Linked DNA regions of Diceros bicornis minor. The protein of the gene in region 1 interacts with the protein of each later gene in a biochemical or structural test. Links are inferred from orthologs where the notes say so. Each region holds a gene or a part of one and is shown on either strand. Other genes may lie near its edges.

Region 1 (6,945 bases):
TTAATGCTAAATAATGAAACAAGAACCCACAACCGAAAACTACTAAAAAACTAAGTTCTCTCAAAGTGTTAAGGCATGATACTAAAAGTAAATCCTTTCTTTTCCTGGGGAAGTTCTCTGCCACAAACTTAACAGCTACATAATCAGGAAAATGGATGAACAAAGCTATTTAGCGTTACATTTATTTCCATTCACTAATTCAGTAGCATTTAACAAAGCAGTATAATAAATGCCAAAAAGAAATTATTTTCAAAAGTTTTTAACTCATTGGTAAAGGTAATCAAATAAACAATGTTATAATAACCTATCATGAGTTTATACGCAAAATTATTTCAGTTCAGTTTCCAAATATAGTATTTTGGCTTAGCAAATTTTATAGTGTTATAAGAAGCATAAGTATCTTTTCTGGCAAATAATGGGAAATGTTATTTGAAATCCACCAATCCCAAATAACAGGATGTACCAAACTACACTTATATCTAATAGGATGTTTCTGAAATCATACCTTCTTTAATTCTCTCTTCCGGGCTTCTTTTCCTTTAGAGAGGGAAAGAGAGAGAGAATATAAAACTGTCAAATCTTGAATGTTAACATTTTCTACAATTTAATACAGATAATTTTTTATTGTGGGAGGCTGCTCTGTGTACACTGTAGGATATTTAGCAGCATCCCTGGCCTCTACCCACTAGATGCCAATAGCATCCTTCTAATTACGTCAACTAAAAATGTCTCAAGATATTCTTAAGTTTCTTAAAAATAACTATGAATCTGAACGAAAAAGATTCCATAAAATAATAAATAAGAGCATGCAAAAACAATTTGTTCAAAATTCCAAATACAAAAAGAAAGATTTAAGCCAAGTCAATCAAATTAGAAATATGGGTACTAACTTTTTTTGTATGTTTAAAGTTTTAATCATGTGCCCACAAGAATACTAGATAACTTTATACAACTGACACCTCCTAGCACTGCTGATCCTGTAATTAAGACATAATGAAATAGACTCCTTAAAGTGTGTGATTTTTACCACTCCTCTTCTTCATCATTCCACAATAATGGACACTTACGGGCTTGGTCTGTGGGGTTCATAAATTTTCCACTCTTGGTGGATGACGTAGATCTCCGTCCCATGTTGACAATCTGTATGGTTTACTTGTTCATTAAAAAAAAAAATACCTGTGAAGACAAAGAAATAGCTTATTTTTCCTATATTTACAAAATTTCTTCCTACCAATCTTTGAAAAGAAACATTCTTTTGATTATAAAGACCTTGCTCTTTCCCTAGTTTTGACTTTAGTGTCCAGGAAAGATGACCTCAACCTTCCTGACCATGAAAAATTAGATTTGTTATTATTTATAAAAGTAATGGTTCTGAAGATTACTTTGAATATCACTAAGTCATCGATTTAATTTTCTTCTATGGATGACAACTTTGACTCATCAATTGAAACAAATCATCGGAAAATGCTTCAACAATACGACAAAAACCATGAGAGGCCACTAGTCCTTTTCCTACATCCTCCCTTTATTCATATGCAGCATGCAAGAGGAATAAAAAGGGAATGGAGTAATGATCTGGACTCAATGACAAACAGCTCACCCTTGCCTCTCTGCACGGTTTTTCTTGGCATGTACTCCCAACACCTCTAAGGCAGTAAAAACCTCATTAATTTAAGCCTATTTAATTCAGATTTAGATTTAATTCAGATCTAATTCTTGACTCTCCAGTGGGAGCTTAAAACATAAAAATGCCAATATTCGAAATGAACGTACTATATGAGAGAACTTCCAAAAACGTCAACATTAAGACATATATTTTTCTTAACTAGTACCTATTTGCCTCTTGATTTGTATTTTTTAAGGTAACTGAAAGGAATAATTGTGTTTAAGGGAAAATATCTGGTGAGTCAAAATTTTTATTAACCTAAGACACTTATATCATTTCTTCCTGTTATTCCAAATGAATGAGGTTTAACTTTTGACATTCTTTCCAATAATAAAGATTGACAAGTTTTCTTCCTTTTAAAAGTAGACACTTTTAAGGAACAGGAAAGGGAAGATGACGAGGTAAATTTTTTAGTAGATCTTACAATTATACCTTCCCTTCTTCCCTTTATGGAGACTGGCAGGCAAATTTATTAGATAATGCCTCTTTCAGCAAGTGTTCAATTGCCTTGATCTCTGCTAAATGCTTCAAAGGTGTTCCAGTGGCAACTAACTTATACCCCTGTCAAGGGTTTCCTTCTAGGAAAAACGGAGTGGGGGAGAAGGAAGGCGGAAACAAGCAAAATTAGTACAAATACAAGCTCTCCTATCTTTGATGGCCTGTAGCGCTTTTGCCTTCCTCTCTCAATGACCCTTACGCTCATGTTCTGACTCTCCTCTCCCACAACGGAAACACACAACAGATACGAACTGCAGAGAATTTTTACAGAAGGCATTGGCGCCTCAGTCTGCACAAATCACTTTTTTGTCTAAAAGCAGAGGGAACAGGGAAATCAGGCCACAAAACCGTGGGGGAACCCTAAACAGCCATAGAGGCTCCAATGGGACGGAGCCCAGGTCCACCAGAAGAGGCAACAGCAGCAACAACTGCCGAAACCATAGCGACGGTTGACCGCGACTCGAAGTCGAGACAGCAAACCCAAGGCAACCGGTCAACGCGCACAGACAGGAGGCGGGGCTAACCGACCAGGCTGAAGTCAGCTACTAAACCGCTGGACGCTGCGCCGCCCCCGGCTCGAGGATCCCACAGTTCGCGACCAGGAACCCCAACCGCGGAGAGGAAAAGCGGGGCAGAGGGGCCTGGTGTCCCAGGCAACCGCGCGGGCCCCGGAAAGGGGCGGGAAAGATGAAGGAGCAGAGTGGAACAATCTTGCACACTCACAGTTCTGCTGGGCTCCCGGGACTGCGAGAAGCGGGGCGGGGACGATTCTCGGCCTCTTTTACTTCGCAAGGGCCTTCACCTCTGCCTCCCGGTCAGCCATTGAGCCACCGCCATCTTGAAACCTCGCGCCCCTCCGCCATCCTTACGTCACTTCCTATCCCTACGGGCCGAGGATCCCAGCGTTTCTCCGCCCTGGAACCATAGAGAGTAACCAGGAACTCCAGAGCCAGAGTCTCTTCCGCTCCAATACGATACCGAATTGGTTGGTTATCGGCTAAGAGCCCGCCCTCGCCACGCAGTACGACTCTTTCACGTTGATTGACACTTATCTAGGTCAATAGAAATAAGAAAAAGGCAGCGGCTCTGATATATGATTGGCTGGTGAGACGACTGCCCCGCCTCTCGGCCCGGAGGCATTCTGACCTCATGTCCGGGAGTTCGAGTTATTGCGCCGCCCGATACCGGCTGAATGAAGATAGGGAGGTGTTTTGCCCTGTTTCTGTGTCCTGGAATTGTGTTAGTTTTTGAATTTTCTTTTTTTCATGACGTAAGCGAGTGAGATCTTTGGGGAGCGTCTGTTCGAAAACGAATCCCCAACTAACACTTGCTACTGTGTTTGATGCGCTTTGCTAGCGTCAGGTCTGTCTGGAAGCGCAGTATGTAGTTGTTTATAGACACGCAGAACATTTGTACGCCCGAGCAAATCAGTGTCCGTATTAAGAGTCCCAGATTGCTAATCTAGAAGATTAGTCTTTTGAAGATGAAGTGTGGGGATACATGTGCAGTAGGGTTTAAATTTACAATGGGGAAGTTGATTTACATTGGCTCTTTTCCCTTCTGGTCTTTTCCCCAGCCCAAAGGCCTTTATGATGTCACTAAACATAGAGAATTATCCCTTAGCTCGAGTCTTCGTTCTCTCCCTGTCTTCTATCCGTTCTTAGTCTCTAAGACTCCTATCTTTTCCCCTTAAAGGTAAGTTTAAACATTTAACAATTCTGTTCTTAAAGGACGTGCTTGTTTATTTTTGCTCTTATCTGAATATCCCTTATAGGAAAATATGTTAAATACAGACCGATTCTTATCAATATAAAAATTCCAAAATATTGTTGAGATACATATTAACTTTTAGCAGAATATGCAAATGTACATATGATATTGGTCCTTTGCCTGAACTAAGCCTTGTCTTAGAAAATTCTTGATTTGGTTTTAGACTGCATTTTGAGTTCCAGAAAGAGCAATAACAGGGTCTTGTAGTTTAAAGCTTATAAATCAGATGATAAACAAAAAAGAAAATAAGATTTAATTTTGAAGGTGAATTATATTGTGATGTTTTGCATCTAATTTAAAAAAGCAATGACAGAAGAGAAAGAAAATGAGTACATTTGAAAAATTAAAATATTTCATCTAGCTTTTTAATTTTTGAGATAGGCTGAGGTTTTTAAATTTCAAGACATTTCTTGAACTTGGATGCAAAAATTAGTTATAACAAACACATTCTTGCATCAACATCTTATTAATAATTTTGTAAGTGGAACCTAAGAGTCTTGGGGGAGTTATTAGTTGGTGAAGGATTTAGAGAACAGACATTTGCATCTTCAGAAATTCAACTGAACCATTAGGGCTCCATAGCCTCTGGATTTTTCTGAAATTAGGTAATTAGTGAAATAGGCCACTTAAAGCTTTGTATAGCAAGGGCAACTTCCTTCCTGCTAGTGTTAAAAATGAAATATCTTCTTCCTGAAAACTCATAAGGTGATAAATTATAACTTTCCTTTAAATGACAAATTCTTTTTTTTTTTTTTTTTTTTTTTGTGAGGAGATCAGCCCTGAGCTAACATCCGCCAATCCTCCTCCTTTTTTGCTGAGGAAGACGGCCCTGGGCTAACATCTGTGCCCATCCTCCTCCACTTTATATGGGACGCCGCCACAGCATGGCTTACCAAGCAGTGCGTCGGTGCGCGCCCGGGATCCGAACCAGCGAACCCCGGGCCGCCGCAGCGGAGCGCGCGCACTTAACCGCTTGCGCCACCGGGCCGGCCCCAAATGACAAATTCTTAAAAGAGTAACTACTTCCTCTCCTGCATCCTGAGTGCATTTTGTGCATATATAGCTGGGATTTGTTTGTTTGTTTATTTTTATTTTTTTGGTTGAGGGAGATTGTCACTGAGCTAATATCGGTGCCCATCTTTCTCTTTTTGCTTAAAGAAAACTGTCACTGAGCTAACCTCCGTCAGTCTTCCTCTATTTTGCATGTGGGATGCTGCCACAGCATGGCTTGATGAGCGGTATGTAGGTCTGTGCCCAGGATCTCAACCTGTGAACCCCAGGCTCCCAAAGCGGAGCACGCAAACTTAACCACTACACCACCTGGCCCGCCCCTCCCTGTTTGGTTGTTAAATGTTCCAGAATGTTCAAACTTTCACTTAAGGGATATTTAATCATCACACCACAGTTGGTCAGGGTTGATTGCAATTATAGAGACAGAACCGTTATTTTTTTAGTTTCAACTTTTATCTTTTAAAAATCTGTCCAGATTATAGTGTGTAATTAGTGGTTTACAGAACCATTGCCTCCTTTCATCATTGAAGTAAATTGTTACAAACCATATTTCAGTCTCTTCCAGTTTACAGAAAATTTGACTTAAACTGATGGTCAAAATTATGGTAGTATTTCTATCCCATTCGAAGACCCAGAGTTTGTGTCCAGGCAGAAGTTACTAAGTATGTCCCTTTACACGTACATGATGTCCAAAGGTGGTGGGAGAAATGAAAGTCTCTGCATTCAATGTAAATTTTAAGGATTTTGACTGGGAGTTAGAAAAGGAGAAGTTAACCCCTACACCTACTGCTCTCCAGTAGCATTCACAGTTATATTGATCTGGTAGAACAGAGTGAGAAGACATCCTGGAATATAATCTTTTACCTCAGGGTCTAGCACCAACCTATCCAGGCATTCATTGTTACTGGAAAACTCTAGAGTCATCTAGTTTTAGCATCTCTAATTCCTCTTTCCAAGTTGTTTACTGTATTTATGCCTATGTTGGAAGCTTATGGAAAATGAACCTACTCAAAGAAGCAAAACTATTATTGAGAAAGAAGGAGAAAAGTATTCCAGTGGCAAATAAAGTGGCTGTTTATTTCATTTGATGTTTCACTGTGTTGGTGACCTCAGTAATGGCTTGATGATATCTTTCTGAGGCTGACTTGAATTCCACCAGATGCTTCTCATAACTTTTGATGGCCGCTTGAAGCTGCGTTTTCTCCACTGCTCCCAGGATGGCACGGATGATCATGTCTATGCCAAGGCCAAGAACAGCAACTCCTATACTGCCAAGGAGAGAAGCACCAATTTGAGCTAATACCGTGACCAACTTGTTAATTATGCCAGTTGTGACATTTGAGCCCACAAGTTTGACAGCCACTGCACTGGCTGCAGAAGTCGCTTCTCCCAGGATGACTGAAATAACCTTTTGTACTATTGCAATTTTCTCTGTTTCCCTTTCCTTAATATCCTGAAGTTTTCTGTAGAGAGTTGGCTCTAGTTTATCTTTTAGTGCTTCATCAACCTTTTGCAGTTCCTTTTGGATTTTCATCATGGCTTGAATGATGATATCGCAGTTTTCTTTGATGGTCCCATCTCTTTTCATCTCAATGGCGGCCAGGCTGCACGCCAAGTGTGTGTTTAAAACCCCAGTCAGCTTGTTGGTGGCATGGAAGCTGTCAGATAAGCAGTCAAGGAGCTGCTGGTGCAGACGGTTTACTTCTTGCCGCCTCCTTGGGTTATCTGGGTAGAGGAAATCACTCTGAGCCATATTTGAAATAGGATCTCTGAAAAAGAAAATAGTAAATCTCTGCTAAAAATCTTGAAAAATATCTGCTGTCTGCATAGATTTGACCAGGAAATCTTTTACTTTGTGAATAGCAAAGTAGCAATATGCTATCTAAGGAATTCCTCAGAAAACTCAACAGGTTCTTCAAAACAGTTGTTTTTCTGAAACTTGGAGTCAGTGTATGGAAATGTGGGTAACAGAATACAACCTATTGATGCATTAATTAAGG
Region 2 (6,819 bases), on another chromosome or scaffold:
ATCGCACCTGATGCTCCTGGATTCACTATCATTTACCTGATCCCTCTCTGAGAACTACTAGAAGCCCTTGAGGCACCCTTGGATCTGCCAACTCACCTGCATTACTGCTCCTGAGCTTCTTGGCAGATTTGGTAACGACCGAGTTGGGGTCATGTGGGGAGAGCCAGGACACGAGGTCTGTGTCCACATTCCAGTAGTAAGGGAGCCCGCTGTGGGGCAGTGGGAGGGAGGGAGGGATAGAGAAGGAATGTCAGCACAGATGTTACCTCCTTGTAGCCTCAACTCTTGTCTCCCCAGTCTCCGCCTCTACCTGGCCCATGTCAGGACCCCGTGGGGAGGACCCCCAGATCTCTTAACCCGAGGTCAGGGACAGCACAGGAAGGATGAAGTCAGAAGTCAGTTCCCTCCCCCCTGGCCAGGTCCCCAGGCTCACCAGGAAGGGTCGAACACCTTGTACCAGCTTGGTGGCAGGCCCTCCAACCGGGTGGCCTCATAGTCCACAGGGTCATCGTCATAGTCCTCGGCAATGATCTCTTCCTCTGGTTCTGGCATGGCGGGGGGAGGAGGAGAGCAGTGAGGAGCAGGGGGATTCTCATCCTACAGTTAGAGCCTGGAGAGACACTAGCATTCACACAGACCACGTGTGTGTGCCAGGTCTCACCGGCCCTGGCAGATACTGCTCACATTCCAAAGCCACTTATCTGGATATCGGGATTTACCAAAAACTGTACTTAAATCTGTTCTGTTTCTGGGTTCACATAAGATATGTTACCCAAAGCTATTACCCAAAGCTATCTGGTTTCAGAGTTTAGATAGGGATTCACCAACAAATGTATCCATATTTATTCAGTTCCTGAGTTCAGGTAGTATGTGACACCACACTATCCAAATCTGTTTGGATCAAATGAGTTTGAACAGCAAGGGGTTTATCTGAAAATATGTCCAAATCTATTCAGCTCCCAAACTTGGCAAATATGGGGTTTCTGACGCCTGTATATTGAGTAGCAAGAGTTTGGATACCAAGGGATTTATCCAAACACTGCTCTGAATCTATTCAGTTCCTGACACATAGTAAGCATGCAGCAGTTGTCAGTTCATATCAGTAAAATTAAAAGGGTGTATATTGTCAGCCCAGTAGCTGACCTTCAGTAGGCCTATCACAGATTTCAGCTGCAGAAATAACTAACAATGAAATGCACAGGCATACCTCAGAGAGACTGCAGGTCTGGTTCCAGATCACCGCAAGAAAGTGAATATTGCGATAAAGTGAGTCACACGGATTTTTTGGTTTCCCACTGCTCCTAAGAGTTATGTTTACACTATACTGTAGTCTATTAAGTGTGCAATAGCATTATGTCTAAAAAACAATGTATATACCTTAATTAAAAGTACTTATTGCTAAAAAATGCTAACCATTCTTCAGCCTTCAGCGAGTCGTAATCTTTTTGCTGGTGGAGGGTCTTGTAAAAAACACAGTATCTGCGAAGCACAATAAAATGAAGTATGCCTGTATATGTCAGCAACAGCATAGTGCCTGTCACACAGTAGGCCCAAAATAGATATCAGCTATAATCATCAGTATTTTTAATAAGATATATATACTCTCAGCACAGGGCCTAGTACTCAATAGGCTTAAAATAAATATCAATGATCATTATCAGTATTATTAACCACAAGATCTATGCCTGGCACACAGTAGGCTTATAATAGATGTCACTTATCAATACGGTGAAAATAAGATGTATTTTCCAGTGCCCGGCATACTATAGCTCAAAATAGATGCCAGCTTTTACTATTATTGACAAGGTATAAATATTAGCAGCAGCAGCACAGTAGGCCTAAATGATAGATCCTATCGTTATTTTATACTGTTAACCATAATGTGTATGCCAGGCACTTAGTAGACCCAAAATACATGTCAGCTATTAATGTGAACAATAAGGTATGTATCACCAGCATAGTGCCTGACACCATGGGAGGTCTGAAATAATGTTATGAGTATGGTAAAGAACAAAGTATTAGCATCCTGCCACTGTACTTGGCGCACGCACAGGAGACTGCAAATGTCAGCTATCTTCACTATTAGATACTTTGTAACCACTTCCATAGATTGATTGATGGATTGAACCTGGCATACAGTAGGCCCAAAATAGTCATCAGCTGTCAGTATTAAGGATGAAATATCTATCTCCCCCATGCCTGGCACATGGTAGGAATGGGTGTCAGGAATCCCCATTTTTAACAGTGAAATGCCTGCCACCCCACTGCCTGGTGCACAGTAGGCCCATGCTAGTTATCAAGTGGCAGTCTCAACAACAAAGTGCCTCTCAAGCCTGGCACATGGTAGGCCCATCTGCTCTTAGCTCTCACCGGGCTCCAGATGTTTGAGGATGCCTCTCTTGGCCAAGCGGGTCTGCAGCGCAACGGGTAGCGGCATAGCGGGTAGCAGACAGACCTAGGGACAGATGGACAGACTAAAAACCAGCTCAGATGAGGACTCAAATCTGGAGCCCGTAACCAAACGCCTCCCCCGAGCATGTACTCATCTGGACCCCCACCTACCCACCTGCAACAGTAGCTGGGTGGACGGAACCTAAGCGGGAGAAGGCGGAAGAGATAGATGGCAATATCACCAAAACTCTCACCAACCCTCCCCTCCAGGCCGGGTGCTCCATGACCGGGTTCCTATCCCAGGCCCAGGCTCCACCCATAGCTGAAGGGGCCAGCACAGCTCCCCCGCGCCCCAGAAATGGGTTCACCCAACGTCCCCCAAAGACTGCCGGGTAGGAGGAACCAAAGCGCTGAGAAGGGGGAGGAGAATGCAGTACTTCCTCCCGCTCCAAAAAATGCGCCCACTCCGACGTTACCAATACAGTCACGCGGGTAGTGGAAGGCTGTCAGACCGGCCGCCTCTCTCTTGTCGCCCCTTGATCACCAGGACCCCACAACTCTCTTCTCCCAAAGCACAGAACGAGGTCCTCTCTCCCCGAGGCTTGGAGTAACTGGATGACGCTCAGGCTGCGGTGAACAGACGACGCAAGCCGGGGTGACCAATGAGAGCGCGCCCTTGGCCTGACGTATGGCCAAGCGACCCAATCGTCGCCCTGGAAGAGTTGGACAGCTCGGGCGCCTGTGTGCGTTTACAGTGGGGGCGTGGCCCGGCCGGGGTTTAGCCAGACTGCGCGGCAGGACGCCGGCGCCATGGAGGAGTACGCTCGGGAGCCTTGGTACGGCGATGGGCACAGGCATCGGGACTGTTGCTGTGGTGCCACGGCCAGCTGTGGGAGGCGGGCGGGGGAGGCACCGGCCACACAGCGCCACATCCCAGACTCGGGAGACGTTTAAAATCTGTCTCCTTTGCTCCCCTCCACTTGATTCCTCCCACTCGGGCTCCGTTAAGAGGGGCCCCAACTGTATACCTGGAAGTGAAGGACGAGCCACCCCACGTTTCCCCTGACTACGTATCTCCCAGCCCCTCTTTGTTAACGAAAAGACACGCTGGTCGAATCCATTCCAGCTGGGGGGTGGTGTGTTGAGCGGAAATCCCCAGGGTTACCACGCGTGGTTTTTCCCAGGTCGCTGTAGTTAATGGGGGCGGGGCCTGGATGAGCCTATTCTGGGCAAGGAGGGGGTGCTGGATCCTCCCCACGGTCGGCTCTCGGTTTTTCCCATTCGCGCGCGGTTAAAAAAGGGGGAAAGGGCGGGGCTTGATTGGATGGGCTCGTTGTCGGAGAAGGGGCTGTGACCCTGTACTGCTTTAATAATAATACTAGCTAGTCAACACTTCTATAGCGCTTGTTTAAACGTGCCAACTCTTTGCTTGTATCAATTCATTTAATCTTTGATAGTAGTAAAGCTGATTCCTTGGTTGACTGCGAAGGGGAGGGTAGGACTGGGCAAAGACTAATATTTTTCCCGTTTTGCACTATTTCTTGCTTAAATGAGGGGAAAAATAATCTCATTATCTGAAGTGCTACTTCCCTTTCAGGTGACTTGGTTTCTTCCAGTTAGAAAGTCCATGTGACATGGCATGGGGGAGGGCACACATTAACCCCATCTCCCCTTCCCGCTTGCAGCCCATGGCGAATTGTGGATGATTGCGGTGGAGCCTTCACTATGGGTGTCATCGGCGGCGGAGTCTTCCAGGCCATCAAGGGCTTCCGCAACGCCCCTGTCGTGAGTCCTGGCCTTCCCTGGGTGGTGCCAGGATCCTGCCCTGTCCGCTTGGGATACTGCTCTGAAAAGTGCTTGGAGCTGCCAGTCACATGCACTTATTCATTCTGGTTCCTGATCGCCTGCTATGTGCCAGGCTTGGCTCCAGGATGAGGGGTTTTGGGAGAACTGCAAACATGGCCTCTGTCCCTCACCCCGCACCCAATTGGAGCTCCTCTGTGGAAATTTTGTGCTGTCAAAATGGTCATCGCTAAATCCTAAATGTGTGTGCAAAGATTTTACCTAGAGGCAGATTCTGGGTCAGAAACCTGGATAGAGGGAAGTGACAGGAGATTAATTGGCAGAAGGAGGGCAGCCTTAAAGTTGAGAAAATGCTTTTAATTTAACATAATCAATTCTGTCTCTTTCTCTGATACCCTTCCTCCTGGGAGATCTCATCAAATGTCATGGCTTTAAATGCCATCCATTTGCCAGGGTCTCTGCAACTGATACATCTAGCCCTGTCCCTCCCCTCATCTCCTGGAACTCTCTTTCCTGGATCTTTGCCTGAGTTTCTCCCTCTCATCCTCAAGGTCTCGGCACAAATGCCCCCTCCTTAAAGAGGTCTTTCCTGACCCCTCAGCCACTACCATACCTCTTCATTCTATTTCTTCTAGGGTGCATAGTGCTGTCTGAAGCTATTGTTTATCTGTACCCTTGCCCAAGATCTGTCTCTGCCACTATGATGTGAGCTCTGAGACGGCAGGGGCCAGGTCTGCCTTATTCACTGCTGTATCCCTGTGGACAGCATGGTGCCTGGCACATAGGAGCTGAGTAATCATTGAATGAATGAATGAGAGCTTCCCAACCCAGCTCTGAGAACACCTATGGTGAGGTGCTCCCCAGTCCCCTTGTTCTTGGCCTCTTCTCCATGTCTCTACCCTTGATACCCCTAACAGGTCTCCCACCCCCTTCCCTCTGTTAAAAGCTAGAAACCTTGTCTGCCAGTCGCTTTAACCCTGCCCTGACTCCCCTCCTCCTCACTTTCTCCCAGGGAGTTCGGCACCGATTGAGAGGTAGTGTCAACGCTGTGAGGATCCGAGCCCCCCAGATTGGAGGTGAGAGGCTTGGGGAGACATAGGAGATGTGATGGCAAAGTTGGGGGTGGTTCCTCCTTTGGGTCTAGACTGCAAGTTGGGGGTCCATATTCTAGCCTCAACTCTGCCTAGGACTTCCTGGGGGAGTGATGTTTCCCAACAATTTAATATGAGTGAGTTCTGGGGTTTAAATCCAGGCCCTGGCTCTTCCTTGCTGTGTGACCTTGGGCTAGTGGCTTAACTTCACTGAACCTCATCTGGAACACGGGGATGATGATAATAACTACCTCAGTCGTTTTGTAATGTATGTAATTTACATGGTACTTACTAAGTGCCGGTTGTTCTGCTGAGCACTTTAATAATATTAACTAATTTGAAATTTCAGAAGTCAAATAGCATGCAGTGCCTAGATCAGGCCCTGGCACACAATAAGGCCTCAGTAAACATTTTAGCTATCATATTGTTAACGGGCTTTCCTAACCTCTTCCTTCTCCATGAAACCAAGATCAGAATTTCAACTCTTTGTGGTAGTTGTGAAGATCAGAGTTGCTTTGTTCAAAGCCATATAGAAGATAGACCTCTTTTGAACACTTGTAACTCGCTCTGAAGGGGAAGGGAGTGTTGATGGCGATTATAGACAGCTTGAAGAAGGAGCTCCCACAGGGACAGATGGGGACTATCCCCACCTCCTTTGCTCTCTGCCTTTGTGTCTGGGTTTTGCTCCCCATTCTTTGCCAGAGCACTCAGGCCTTGGAAGTCCCCAGACCCTGAGCCGTGGATTCTCAGGATTCCCCAGGAACACTAATTAGGCCTTGGTCCCCCTGCAGGTAGCTTCGCGGTGTGGGGGGGCCTGTTCTCCACCATCGACTGCGGCCTAGTACGGCTGCGGGGCAAGGAAGATCCCTGGAACTCCATCACCAGTGGAGCATTGACCGGGGCTGTGCTGGCTGCCCGCAGTAAGTGCCCCAGTCCCTGGCCCCAGCCCCTTCCACCCTGTTCTGCCTGCCCTCACCTCTCTCTCCCTGCCTTCTCTCTCCTCCAGGTGGCCCATTGGCCATGGTGGGCTCGGCCATGATGGGGGGCATTCTCTTGGCCCTTATCGAGGGTGTTGGCATCCTCCTCACTCGCTACACTGCCCAGCAGTTCCGCAATGGTGAGTACCTAGCGAAGCTGATCAGGGAGAGGTGGCAAATCCTCTGCCTAGCCTCCTCCACTCACCTTTACCTGGTTCTCCCCTCTCCAGCACCCCCGTTCCTGGAGGACCCCAGCCAGCTGCCCCCTAAGGAGGGTACCCCGGCCCCAGGCTACCCCAGCTATCAGCAATACCACTGAGGAAGTGACCGCCTATCACCGCCACCGTGGGAGCGCCTCCTCGGTTCCCTCCCCGATGATCTACCTCGAAGGGAGGGCTGGCTCCCAGTTTGCCCTGGGACCTTCCAGAGAGGGCCTCTACTCTGCTGCCTTGTCCCAGGGTGGGGGTGGGGCACCCCAGCTGCCCTGACGGATAGGTCCCCTTCTCTCTCAGGGCACCCCAGCCTCACACTCACATGTAACAAGCTCTCACCCCAGT

The links.
Region 2: the proteins of WBP11 (region 1) and PQBP1 form a complex in vitro, tested with the Homo sapiens proteins (2 studies listed by BioGRID and IntAct, with this or other methods). The link is inferred for Diceros bicornis minor from reciprocal best matches to the Homo sapiens genes WBP11 and PQBP1.

The regions. Positions count from the first base shown.
Region 1 is NC_080756.1:46,417,411-46,424,355, reverse strand, and holds the start of WBP11 (WW domain-binding protein 11), read right to left. Parts: upstream 3,020-6,945; 5' UTR 2,888-3,019; intron 1,177-2,887; 5' UTR 1,132-1,176; coding exon 1,068-1,131; intron 538-1,067; coding exon 506-537; intron 1-505. Other genes in the region: SMCO3 (single-pass membrane and coiled-coil domain-containing protein 3), read right to left, coding at 6,021-6,698. UniProt on the Homo sapiens protein: Activates pre-mRNA splicing. May inhibit PP1 phosphatase activity.
Region 2 is NC_080781.1:42,157,535-42,164,353, reverse strand, and holds the start of PQBP1 (polyglutamine-binding protein 1), read right to left. Parts: upstream 3,011-6,819; 5' UTR 2,868-3,010; intron 2,594-2,867; exon of another isoform or gene 2,567-2,593; intron 2,456-2,566; 5' UTR 2,438-2,455; coding exon 2,371-2,437; intron 546-2,370; coding exon 434-545; intron 210-433; coding exon 97-209; intron 1-96. Other genes in the region: TIMM17B (mitochondrial import inner membrane translocase subunit Tim17-B), read left to right, coding at 3,202-3,227, 4,077-4,176, 5,207-5,270, 6,077-6,205, 6,292-6,402, 6,493-6,581. UniProt on the Homo sapiens protein: Intrinsically disordered protein that acts as a scaffold, and which is involved in different processes, such as pre-mRNA splicing, transcription regulation, innate immunity and neuron development.